Danio rerio: one gene and its partners. The protein of the gene in region 1 purifies or fractionates together with the protein of each later gene. This does not show direct contact. Links are inferred from orthologs where the notes say so. Each region holds a gene or a part of one and is shown on either strand. Other genes may lie near its edges. The genes, in order: amotl2a, nf2b and pals1a.

Region 1 (4,633 bases):
TAATAAATGTGTGATATGTGAAGTATGGTACGTGCGTTGTGTGTGACGGGCGTCAGGCGTGTGTGTTTGTGAATCGTGTGTGCAAGGGAGGTGTAGGGTATAGAGCAGATGGTAGACCTCTCCCCTGTAATGTCTGTTTCAGAGAGAACAATACGTCTCTCTTTCTGAGGCATGATTAAGGGCTGGAAGAGGATTGCTCTCCATGGACAGCTGGTTGGCAGCATGCCTCAAACACACATACACAGACACCCCCTCCCCACCATCCACACACACACACACACACACACACACACACACACTCAGCAATTAACTGGCACGGGCCACAGCTTAAATATTCACCAGCCCAGAGCAAACAAAAGACCTCAGATTTCATTTATTAATGTGTATTTTCCATATGTATTTATTTAGATTTTCCACCTAATATAAAAAAACATGGACTTGAGCACTAAAGCATTTTGACTTATGAAAAATTTTAATTCAAAGCTCACCTCATGTCATTCCAAAGCCACACTGGCCTCCTTTTACAGAACACAAAAGTAATGAATGCTTATTATTAATACTAAAATACCATTTTTATGATTGTCATATTGGATTACAGAGTATAGAAATTGAGTCGGGGAAAGAGAATATCATCTCAAGGAAAACATTCAGAAAAGTATATTAATATAATATGTACAGTGCTCAGCAAATATAAGTACACCCCTCACAAATCTATCTTTTCAATTCATCTTTTTTTTTTTTTTGGAGGCCTTACAATATTATATTTGTGCATATCCATTAGATAAGTCAGTACTGAAGCCGAATCTGGAGCTGAAAAATATTAAATACAAATTTGAAAAAAGAAGAAAATCAAGAGAAGAAAAAAATTCAAAAATGTATTTGAAATTTTGTAGGTTGCATTTTTTTGCAATATTTTGCTTGAATTTAATTGTATTATCTTTCAGTTTCTAAATATGTTTGGTGACTAAAATATTATTTTAATAAATACATCTGTTTAATAAATCTTTTTCGTTTGGATGCACCAAAACACATTGCCTATATTCACTGAGAAATGGAAAAAATATAGATTTTTATAATGTGGTGTACTCAAGTATGCTGAGCACTGTAACTATGATTACAAGTATTTTTATTTTATTTTGGAAATAATCTTTATGTAAAAATAATAATTCATCATATATAAATATAGCAGTTGAGTGCCTGTAAAAAGAAAATCATCGCTGTCAAAGGTAAACATTAATAAAACTAATCTAAAAAGATAAATGACTTATTGTTTACATACAAAATACATTGTAAATACACATGAGAGAGCTAAAACTTCAAAAGAAAGCGTAGTTACAGATCCCTGCGACTTTTACTGCATTCCTCTCACTGTTAAAAAAAACGCCTTCCAGACAACAAATGCGCACGGGGCTGAGAGTGAATGCAGTTCCGCTTGTCGCGCGCACTGCCCCCCTTCAGCGGCGCGCTCCGCTTGGGGCCGCTCGGTTCTCCGGCGCTCCAGAGAGAGAGCGAGAGGAGGAGGCGGGGCGAGAGACAAGCGGAACTGCTTTTGATCCCCGAGGGACTCGCAGCCTTCGCATTCCGCGCATTCCAGAGGCCGTGAACAATCGGAGCTCGGTCATTTATTAGCAGAGCCCCTCCCGCTCTGAGCTCAGTCTGCTGGAGAAGCTCTCCAGGCGCGCACGCACGAACATACGCATGGAAATATAAGTCGTACTCAACACATTTCCAGAAGGATTATATCTTTAAACATAGAGACGAGTACGGAAAAGCATTGTAACTTTTATTCGTGATGCCACTGTGACTCGGTGAGTTTTTTAAAGACTTCTAACGCAGCTTGTTGTTGTAAACGAACTCTTTATATGGCACATTGCTTAGTTTTCTATAAGAGCGATGGGTTTGTTATTGTGGCTAAACGTTTACTCATTAAATAAACTGCAGTGTGTGCATGGAAGGGCTTTGTTTATAGGCAGAAGCCAACTTTGTTTTGGTGCATTTGTTCTGGAAGAATTTATAATACTTTAGTTGTACATTCTTTAAAGTACACTAATAGAATGAGGAACTAAACGTTTATTTCAAATCTTGTTTTCATGCTTCTTTGGTATGTTCGAATGTTTTACTACAGTTGTGGTTGTAAAACAAATATGATACACTGGATAGGAATTTGTAGTTTGTAGCAGGAAATAATTTGTGCAACTTTGGAAAGTTGTTGGATTCTAACTGAATTTTCCATTGCTTCCTATGCTAATCAATAGTATAAACTTGAGCAGAAACCCAGCTCATAGTGGGTGTTGTAGGATGGTGCCATTGGTATTTTGGGTGAACGTGGTGTTGCTATGGGTAAAGGCAGTCAGCCTAGAAGCATGTGGAGTGAGGCACCACTCACTGGTTTGTTGTTAGAGAGTGTTTCAATATAGCTGAACAATAGAAAGGATTTGCATTTGAAATATTTATTTTTTTATGCAGGTTCACAGTCTAGAAGATCTTTCATAACACAGTATCACTGATTGCTGTCTGTTAAACATAGACTGAAATGAGAACGGCAGAGGAATCATCAGGAACGGTGCTGCACCGACTGATTCAAGAGCAGCTTCGTTATGGAAACCCTACCGATCCTACTCTGTTAGCCATCCAGCAGCAGGCTCTGCGTGGAGGCAGCAGCGGTGGAGGTGCAGGAAGCCCTCGTTCATCCTTGGAAAGCCTAACACAAGAGGAATCACTTTCTCCCCAGTTGTCCGCCCGGCAAGAGCCCCAGGGCCAAGAGCACCAGGGTGACTTCCAGCATTCAGAGAGTCCTGTTTGTCACCTTTATCAGCTCCACACAGAGGAGCTGCCTACTTATGAGGAAGCAAAGGCACACTCACAGTATCTTGCCTACCAGAGAGGACAGATAGGGCTTCATCACGGCAGTCTGGAGAGCCCTGGAGGGGTTGGAGGAGCCGAACAGGACGACAGCATGTGGGATGCGAAACGAGAGCATGCACGCTCACTAAGTGAGCGTCTTTTGCAACTCTCACTAGAGAGAAATTGTGCCCATGACAATATTCCCATGAGCTCATCGCATAGTTATCCCCAACTCTCTAATAACCACTCTGATTCAGTTGTGAATGAGCAGTCAGTTCATCAGCCAGACCAACGGGGTCCTCCCCCGGAGTACCCCTTCATGGTCAGATCCCCTGGATATATGCTTAGTCATTCACAGGAACATGGACACTATTATAATGAGCCCCCTCCTGCCTTCCATTCACAGCATTACAGGTAAAATTATATTTTGGTCGCATTGTATATACTGTACACTCTATATGAACATCATGGGTGTTCTAATGTTTATTTTTGTCTCTCTCAGGCTATTTCCAACACAGCCACAAGCACCTCGTCACAATGGCCTGCCCACATTGACCCCTGCTGGCCAGGATGTCAATGTTGGAGGATACAGCATCCCAGCGAACAACTTCCAAATGGAGCAGCTTATTAAAGAGAACGAAAGACTGAAAAGAGAAGTGGACAGCTACAGTGAGAAGGCGGCAAGGTTACAGAAGGTAACAGGATTCTTTGTGTGATTGCAACTTCCTTGCAACCTTCTAGAACTGTGATGTTTTTGGTATGACCTCACATTTTGCCAAGGATGCAAAAAGGCAGCTGTGTCCTTTGATTGTGAACTCAGACATGACCTACAAAGAGTGAGAACAAGAAATCATTGTGCGCTGGTGTCTTCTAGCCTCTGCATTCTAAGAAGATTAGCTCTCTTGCCGTGTAGGAATGCATGCAAGGGAGAGGATCACAAGGACTTCAATTTAATTTGAAAAGGACACATTCTTGGTCACTGAGTGAAAATTCCCAGTAACTTATTTAGCATGCGAAACAACACTGAATTTACCCATGCCTAAAATGCCATGCATTTTTCTGTAATGTGATAATGTCATCACTGAAATACCAAAGTGTTATGGCAGAGCAAGGGGGAAAAACAAGCTTATCTTGGTGTTTGTTTTGCTAAAGTTTATTGGGCCTATTGTGTGTCGTTCAGTGGCAAAAGCTAGATTGAGTTTCAGTGGAATTCAGTCCATACATGGTGCTTGGATTAAAAACTATGTTCTTAAAATATTCTATCCTAAAACACTGATTCATGAACATTAAGCCACTATCATACAAACTACCAAATTTGAAATCCCAGTCAACTTTAAAGGGGAAGGGGGCCTCGCTGGGTTTTTCCTGTGGCCCTCTTTGTTAGGATTCCAATGGGATTCCAATAGGAGCAGATGTCTTGGCTCATCTTCGTGTCCGAGAATGAAGAAGGGGCTTTGGCTAGCCCACAGCTGATGGACTGGGCTGCAAAGCGCAATCACAAGGTCTCACAGCTGTGGATTCCCTGATTCAATGGCCCCTTTCACTTTCACTCTTGAACAGAGCTCCACACGGCACCTTTTGACCTGCTTGTGAACCTACACATGTAGGTTGCATATATGTAGTTTTTAAGTTAAAAATAAAATCCAGAAAAGGGAAGAAATTATAAAAATAAATCAGTGGTGGGGTTTTGTAAGCTTCCATATTTGTTTATTTGGAAAATTTTGTTCCTTTTGGACGATCGCTTTCTCATCCCATTTTCCATGTCATAAATGTCATACAGGTGCATATA
Region 2 (3,919 bases), on another chromosome or scaffold:
GCAAATAATTTTACAGAACTCTCACAAAAATATTTAAACATTCTGTATTTGTCTATTCTCAGTTTACTATCAAACCACTGGACAAGAAAAAGGAAGTGTTTAAATTCTACTCATCCCAGCTTAGAGTTAACAAACTGGTGAGCTACTTCTATGAGTATTTGTGTAATAAAGTATATTCAAGTAGTTGCTCACATAAATTTTTTACTGTATATTTTAGATCTTACAGCTGTGTATTGGGAACCATGACCTGTTCATGAGGAGGAGGAAGGTGGATTCAATAGAAGTGCAGCAGATGAAGGCTCAGGCCAAAGAGGAGAAAGCTAGGAAGAAGGTAATTTTCTTCCATTCTACATATGTTAACCATAGTGGTGTTACTCCAAATTAATTCTTTTCTTTATGAATTTAATGTTTATGCAGATATACAATGAAATATAGTAAACATTTATTTGTTTAAACATTAAAATATAACTTATGCAGTAGGGCTGTTCAATTAATCATAATCGTGAAAAAAACGCAATATAAGCACATGGTATTTCTAAACCGTATTAGGCTGCGATTTTTATCTTTTTACTTTAAAATTTACTTCTTTTTATCCAGAAAATGTTCTTGTTTGCACGACTTTAATTTTAACCAAATAGAGCTGACGCATACAATCACAGATAAGCTGAGCAGGAGAAAGATGTTAACCAGCACACTCTGTGCACAACAAAGTTGAGTGGGGAACCGAATAGAGTAGCGGGAGGACAGAACATAAAATATGGATGCAGGTCAAAGTAAAAATAATTTGGTGGCAAAAAAAAATCAACGTCAGTCAATTGGGAGTATTTTGGATTCAGAAGAGAGGATGTGTCACAGAGCAAGGTAATTTGCAAGACTGTTCTAACATTTAAAACAGCGTCATAAAAAACTGCATGATCAATGCATGTCGACAAAATCCAATGAAACAAAGAAAAGCACAACAGATTGTACAAGTATCCATTGTTCAAGCATTTGCAAGCGCCATGGCTTATGAGAAAGGATCAAAACGGCACAAAGAAATTAACGACGCTATCACCTATCATATATGCAAAGATATCATGCCTGCGCACATTGTCAGTAAAGACAGCTTCCGAAAACTAATACAAACGCTTGACAAAAGATACCAGCTGCCATCTCGCACTCATTTCACACGATTTGCTATTTCCGAAATGTATGGCGGGCGTTGAACACAAGCTCAAGTAGGTGAAATACTTTATTTAACGGTCCACTATTTTAATGATAACTTTGAAATGAAAAGTGGTTGTTTGCAAACAGCATTCTTCCAAGAAGACCACACTAGAGAAAATATATCTGAAGGTTTTAAAGAAGCTTTACCATCATGCTTTGTGAAGAGCAACAAGTTATTCCCGAGGTTTCCATAATCCTGGACCAGGCTGTATCACCAGCTGCTGTGGTGGTCATGGAGGAGTGAAGCGCATGAGACTGATTCCTGTAAGACCCCAGTGACAGACGAGTCCTTGAATTGATCTTGAAGGGCCAGCATGTACGCCAGCCAGTGACCTCTCCCACCTGCAGTTTCTCCTTGATTGATGACCAGCGTTCTCCAACCTCTGGTGCCTAGACTGCAGCTCTGCACAAAACGTTTGGCCATTGGAGAAATGGTCATACCCAACTGAGCCTGGTTTCTCTCAGAGTTGTTTTTCTTTCACTTTCTCCAATTGGTGAAGTTTATTCCTCGCCGTTGTCGTCACTGGCTTGCATGGTTCAGGACTTCTGGAGCTGCGCATAAGATGGATTTGCTCTTCAGTGTTTGGACTTTCAACAGTGAAAATCACACTGAAATGAACTAAACTGAGCTTCAACTCTGAAAACTGAACTGACACAGTTTAAATTTACTATAATCTTCTATGTAAAGCTGCTTTGACACAATCTACATTGTAAAAGCACTATAGAAATAAGGATGAATTAAATTGAGCAGGTGTATTTCAACAAGTTTATTTTATGTTGTCTGTTTTAAAGACAATTTTACGACAGTTTTGTTTATTAAACTTAATACTATGTTATGTTTTGTTAAGCAAATATTGTGCACTGAATACATATAGAATGTATGTATGTTGCTTGTTTGCAAAAGCAAAAACAGTTGCCAAAATCACAAATAAAATCGCAATCACAATATTCGTTCAAAAAAATCGCAATATGATTATTTTGTCTTTATTGCACAGCCCTATCATGCAGTACATGTTTCATTTGTTAAAGATGTTATTTTGGCCAGTACCATTTATTTTACAATTAATACTTGTTTTAAAGAGTCCTGAAACAATTTTTTTTATTTCAAAGGTATTAAGAAGCTGTGAAAATTCAGCTTTGAATAAAAGGAGTATATTGTAAATATATTGTATTTGTGACAACATATATTGAGCATAAATAAACAGTACAGATTTACAGAACAATTAGTGTAATTAAAAAAAATAAAGTGTATTAGTTTGTTTATTTTATAAACTTCCTTGTTTCCGGTTGGCTTGAGTCAGAGGTCACACGATCCTCTTTGATTGATGTACCCTGCAAGAGTTGGTATGGACAGCATAGTGAGATCTCAATGCAGACACATGTTAAATGCTCCTGATTATTCCACTGCTGGTTATCAGGCCAACACGGTAAACATTATAACGGTAAACATTTTGTTTATTATTTGTTTATTTTGATTGTGATTGTGTGAAACATTTGGTTTGTTTGTTTATCTTTTTAGTTTTCACAATGTTCAATAAATAAAATGCATGGCTATCTGTATTTGGGAAGCGTGGACTGTTTAATAACCTGCGGGTAGCTACAATCACACTTAAATTAAACCAAATGTATTTGATCAAATCTATCTTGAGTAGATTTAGTCAACCTAAATATTATAAATTAAAACTAAAACTAGACTAAAACTAAAATGATTCAGAAGACTAAAATATGCCTAAAACTAAATTGGAATTTTATTCAAAAGACTAAGACTAAAAATCATTTTGAAGATTTATATTAAAATGTTTCTCATTCAGCATTCTCTTTTTTCTAATGTCTGCCTTTGATTTATGCTGTGTGTCTAGGTTGAACGTCAGATTCTTGCACGGGAGAAGCAGATGAGAGAGGAAGCAGAGCGAGCGAAAGAAGAGATGGAGCGGCGTATGTTTCAGCTGCAAGACGAGGCTCGAATGGCCAATGAAGCTCTAGTGAGGATTTTGCCAAGATTGAAATTGAGCGATGCCAAATAGCTTTCTTTCCCCCGCCAGCTTGTGTTTTATGTCCTCAAAGGCCCTGAAGTATAGAAGTATGTGGTCCAGACGTAAATTTGAGATGAACTGCAGACATATTGAGGTCTAAACCATTGTCCTGGGCTCCCATTAGAATTCCAGTCAGGTTGTGAAACTCCCTGTGCTTGAGTCTGTAAGTCTTTCTTATCGCTTTTTCCTTTCTGCAGCTGCGCTCTGAGGAAACAGCCGATCTTCTGGCGGAGAAAGCCCAGATCGCTGAGGAGGAGGCCAAGCTGCTGGCCCACAAAGCGGCTGAGGCTGAACAGGAGAGGCAGAGGCTGGAGGTCACGGCTCTTAAAACCAAAGAAGAGAAGAGGCTGATGGAGCAAAAGATGAGAGAAGCAGAACAACTGGCCGTTAAGCTTGTTGAGCAGTCAGAGAGGAGGTAGGCCATTGATATCAGTACTAGAGAAAAATTTGTATCAATAATAATCTTGATAAAGGGTGTTAAATCAGCAAAAATTGCCAGTTATGTCAGCATTTCCTCACTCTCATGTCATCACAAACCCATATGATTTTTGTTCATCTTTGAAGCACAGATATCTGAGAGAACAGAACATTCTTTTTCATTGAAAACCTGTTTACTCAAAACTTTAATGTGTCAAAACATAGATAAAATGTGTCCATATGAATCAAAAGCAAAAACATCT
Region 3 (3,919 bases), on another chromosome or scaffold:
AACGATTATTTTATTTATTTATTTTATTGCGCCAGTGCTGCCTTGTCACTAAAGTTTTATTTTTAATTAATGCAACTATTTGTCAATTGCGTGCAAATACAGTCTCAGAGTCGAGAAACAGTTTGTGCTTTTAAGCTTTTAAATTCAACCTTCTTTGTGATGTTGTAAACACCATATTACTTTACAGCGAAGAGACTGCAACATGGTGGCAACATCAAATTATGAGGCTAAAAGAAAACATTTGTTTTTAACTTCTTAAAAACAGATATTTACGTGGCTACAAAACAACGAAAAAAATGAAGCAATGTCTTGCACAGTTTGCCGTCAGTTTGGCAAGTCAGCCACCTTATTTTAAATAATTAAGATCTGCAATAAAATACCTGCACATTTTCCATACTGTTCTTTTTGTTTGCATAAGACTTTTGCTCATTATACATTTAATAACATTTAAAAAATATTTAAATTCTGCATTCACAGACGTTATTTTTGACACATTATTTAACATATAAGAAATAGCTATTAACTTTTTTTTTTGGTGGGGCCAGTGAAAATTTTGGCAGGGCTAGTAAAAATCTCAACCACTGCTCAGATTGGTAGGAAATCAATAAATCCATAGTGTTGAACCTTGAACTCCTGGTAAATCATTACATCCCTACTGGTATAAGAACATTGTTGTGTAAAATGTAAGTTAGGTTTGAGTTTAAATCCCTTCTGGTTAACATGCTTCAATGACACATGTCTTAATTTTAAGGAATATATCAGAAGGCAGTGGTTAGTTGGCCTTTTGTGGCTGTTTTTGAATGCATTTGATCACATGAGGGCTTACACTAGGAAAACTGTCCATTTAAATGCATGGTGAAAGGCTTAAAACATTGTTGTCCCTATTTATCAGTTGTCCGTTTGTGATTAGATTGCATCTTATGAGCAGTCATTTGAGCACTGGCTGAACAAGTATGTGCACAAATGAAGATGATGTTTGATGAAAAGGCTCTTTAGTTGGAGTCAGTGTTGTGTGAAGTGCTAATGAGAGCCTGATAAACTCATGGTTGTTGTTTTTAGTTCTCTCACACAGTGCAGGACAATACTAGACAGAGAGCCGCTCTGTCCTCAGCATTCATTAAGACCCAGATCCACTGACCTGTGCTCTGCTCTCACAGTAAAAGCCTCTCTCATGGGGCAGGTTAAAAACTATTCAAAATGCGGACACATCTTTTACATAGCTTGATGATCTTCTTAGAAATACTGTTTTTGTTCTCCAAAAATTTCCTGTATGTTCTCCATCAGATTGAACACGGTAGATTGTAATCACTTGTTGCCAACAAAACTTATTCCAAGTTCTCATTTGCTTTGGATTTGTACAGCTTTGTATCATGGGGTCAGAAGCCTATTTTCTACATTCATAACCTGAAAGTAAACATCTTTTCCTGTTTGGTGCAGTGCAGAAATCATATGGATCATTACCTATTCATTTAGCATTATAGGATTGTATGACAGTTGCATAATATATTATGTGTAGGTCTGCCATGATATCTATTTTTTGTTGTACGAAATATTGCACCAAAATAGATTGCGATGAATGATATTGACATTTTTAAAGACTATTTTATGCCACTCAGGGCTCGAAATTAACTTTTTTTATACTTTGTTACACCGGTGTTCCCAACTTTAAATATTTAGGAGTACCAGAAAAAGTTTAGGAGTGGTAGAGAAAATTATACACACGGTAGAGAAAAATCATTGAAAAAATTGACTTGGAAAATTTTGATCGATTATAGGTTCTAGATGTTGATTTTGATTACTTTTCGATAATCGCTCAGTCCCATGCTTAAGCCTGAGCAAGAGATTTCCAAATGAAGGATGCATCACTTGATTTTAAAATAATTACAGGAAACAAATACTATCTATAATCTTTAATTATTTATTACAACTGGAAATTAAAACACACACTGTCTGAAACCAACAATCTTTTTTTTCTTATAAACACACTTGCATTTGACCCTGTAAATCAGCCTTAACAGAGCGGTAGGGAAAATAATTGAAAAAAATTGACCTGAAAAAATTAGATGGATTACAGATTCTGAATGCAGATTTTGATTACTTTTCGATAATCGCTCAGTCCCATGCTTAAGCCTGTGTGGATTGGCCGTTATTCAGGAACTATGCAATAAATCTAACAATGTAGCAAAGCAGTAAAGCGTTTTTATTAATAACACAAAGGATAACTGTTTAAAAAATCTATTCATAAAGGAATAAAAGAATAATATACTCATCTAGGAATAAAAAATGAAAAGTTTCCCCTTTATAAAACAAATATTTCTTAGATGTCAAATCAGCACATTTATTGATTTTAAAAGGATCAGTTAACACACAAAATGAGAGTACTATGTTATATGCACAGCTAGTGTTTCTTCCCATATCGAGCGCAGAATAGCCATTTAAAATACTGGAGTAAAATAAATGTTCATATTTTTAAAGACATGACGCGGGAAAATGTAATTTAAAGCAGTGCGTTTTGTACATTCAGAGACCCACTTTATATTGTATACCAATTAGGCAGTGGAGATCATTGATTTTTAAAGAAAACAGATCTTAAACGCTCCAATATTGTAACTGCATACAGTTCACTGGAAGCGCTTGACCCAGGTTTCTACAAAATGAAAAGTCCTTCTGCATACTTCTGCATACCGTATTGCTACTGAAAAGGCTACGAAAGCGATAAAATTACAATTAATAATATATTATAACATAAACTGTAATTTTATTTTTTAATATTACTGGTTTTACTGTGTTTTTGATTACATAATTGCAGCCTTAATGGCTATAAGTGCTTAAAAAAATACTCACCTTAAACTTTTGAACAGCAGTGTATATATTGTACACATTTTGCCAGATGTGTTTAGGTCAATTAAGCATCTTTCGTATTTTGTCTGCATAGGTGGAGGTCATGGTGCAAAACAGCTCACACAAGGAAGGACTTGAGCTAAGCAGCCTGCTCTCAACGTCCCACATGCAGGTGTGTCTCCATCGCACGCACGCAAGCACGCACAAACACACACACGCACACACATCCCTCTATACTGCTGAAGCCCATAGCTAAGATCACAGTGCCTGTCCAAGGGCTCTTTGAACTCTATATCATGACATAAGGGTCAGACTCATGTCAGCTCTGCAAAGCACAGTGGCTTTAATCCTGAATGTAACCAATCATCTCTGGCTCTCTCCATGTCCTTCAGGCGCTCATGATGGCACATGACAGCGTGGCTGAACAAGAGATGCAGCTGGAGCCTCTTGTTCCTTCTGTCAATGCAAGCGAGACTCTCACCCAGTGGGGAGGAGAGACTGTCAAAATTGTACGGATTGAAAAAGCCAAGGACATCCCATTGGTAAGGAATTCTTTCAGTGCCGCTTCCCAGTTTATTGTGCCCTACTAGACTTCTGACCCATGTTTAATTGACTGTGCACATGCCTATTAATACAGGGAGCGACTGTTAGAAATGATATGGACAGTGTGGTCATCAGCCGGATTGTTAAAGGGGGGGCGGCAGAACGCAGCGGCCTGCTACACGAAGGAGACGAGATCCTGGAGATCAACGGTGTGGAAATCCGTGGCAAAGATGTCAACGAAGTCTTCGACATCCTGGTAAATATATATTTATTTTATTTTAATACAATTTTGGGTAACACTTTATTTTGATGGTCCGTATTGCACGTTTGTTGACTAAAAAGATGCATTGCAGCTACATCCCAATAACTTTTCATTTGAGTATTAGTAGACTGTCTGATTAATAGCTGTTGATACTGCTCCTACAACAGACATTTACCTGACTATAAGAAACTTTGCTAGTACATGTCCACGTACACTAACCCCAACCCCAAATTAACAATCTACTTATAATCTATTGAGAATTAGTTGCATGTA

Evidence for each region.
Region 2: the proteins of amotl2a (region 1) and nf2b purify together in Homo sapiens (affinity purification with mass spectrometry; 5 studies listed by BioGRID and IntAct, with this or other methods). This does not show direct contact. The link is inferred for Danio rerio from reciprocal best matches to the Homo sapiens genes AMOTL2 and NF2.
Region 3: the proteins of amotl2a (region 1) and pals1a purify together in Homo sapiens (affinity purification with mass spectrometry; 3 studies listed by BioGRID and IntAct, counting the BioPlex papers as one, with this or other methods). This does not show direct contact. The link is inferred for Danio rerio from reciprocal best matches to the Homo sapiens genes AMOTL2 and PALS1.

The regions. Positions count from the first base shown.
Region 1 is NC_133181.1:30,489,858-30,494,490, forward strand, and holds the start of amotl2a (angiomotin-like 2a), read left to right. Parts: upstream 1-1,653; 5' UTR 1,654-1,808; intron 1,809-2,466; exon of another isoform or gene 2,467-2,527; 5' UTR 2,528-2,533; coding exon 2,534-3,258; intron 3,259-3,346; coding exon 3,347-3,539; intron 3,540-4,633. UniProt on the Homo sapiens protein: Regulates the translocation of phosphorylated SRC to peripheral cell-matrix adhesion sites. Required for proper architecture of actin filaments.
Region 2 is NC_133196.1:27,255,322-27,259,240, forward strand, and holds part of nf2b (NF2, moesin-ezrin-radixin like (MERLIN) tumor suppressor b), read left to right. Parts: intron 1-62; coding exon 63-137; intron 138-217; coding exon 218-331; intron 332-3,065; coding exon 3,066-3,188; intron 3,189-3,436; coding exon 3,437-3,654; intron 3,655-3,919. UniProt on the Homo sapiens protein: Probable regulator of the Hippo/SWH (Sav/Wts/Hpo) signaling pathway, a signaling pathway that plays a pivotal role in tumor suppression by restricting proliferation and promoting apoptosis.
Region 3 is NC_133192.1:35,933,483-35,937,401, forward strand, and holds part of pals1a (protein PALS1), read left to right. Parts: intron 1-2,935; coding exon 2,936-3,013; intron 3,014-3,233; coding exon 3,234-3,383; intron 3,384-3,478; coding exon 3,479-3,640; intron 3,641-3,919. UniProt on the Homo sapiens protein: Plays a role in tight junction biogenesis and in the establishment of cell polarity in epithelial cells.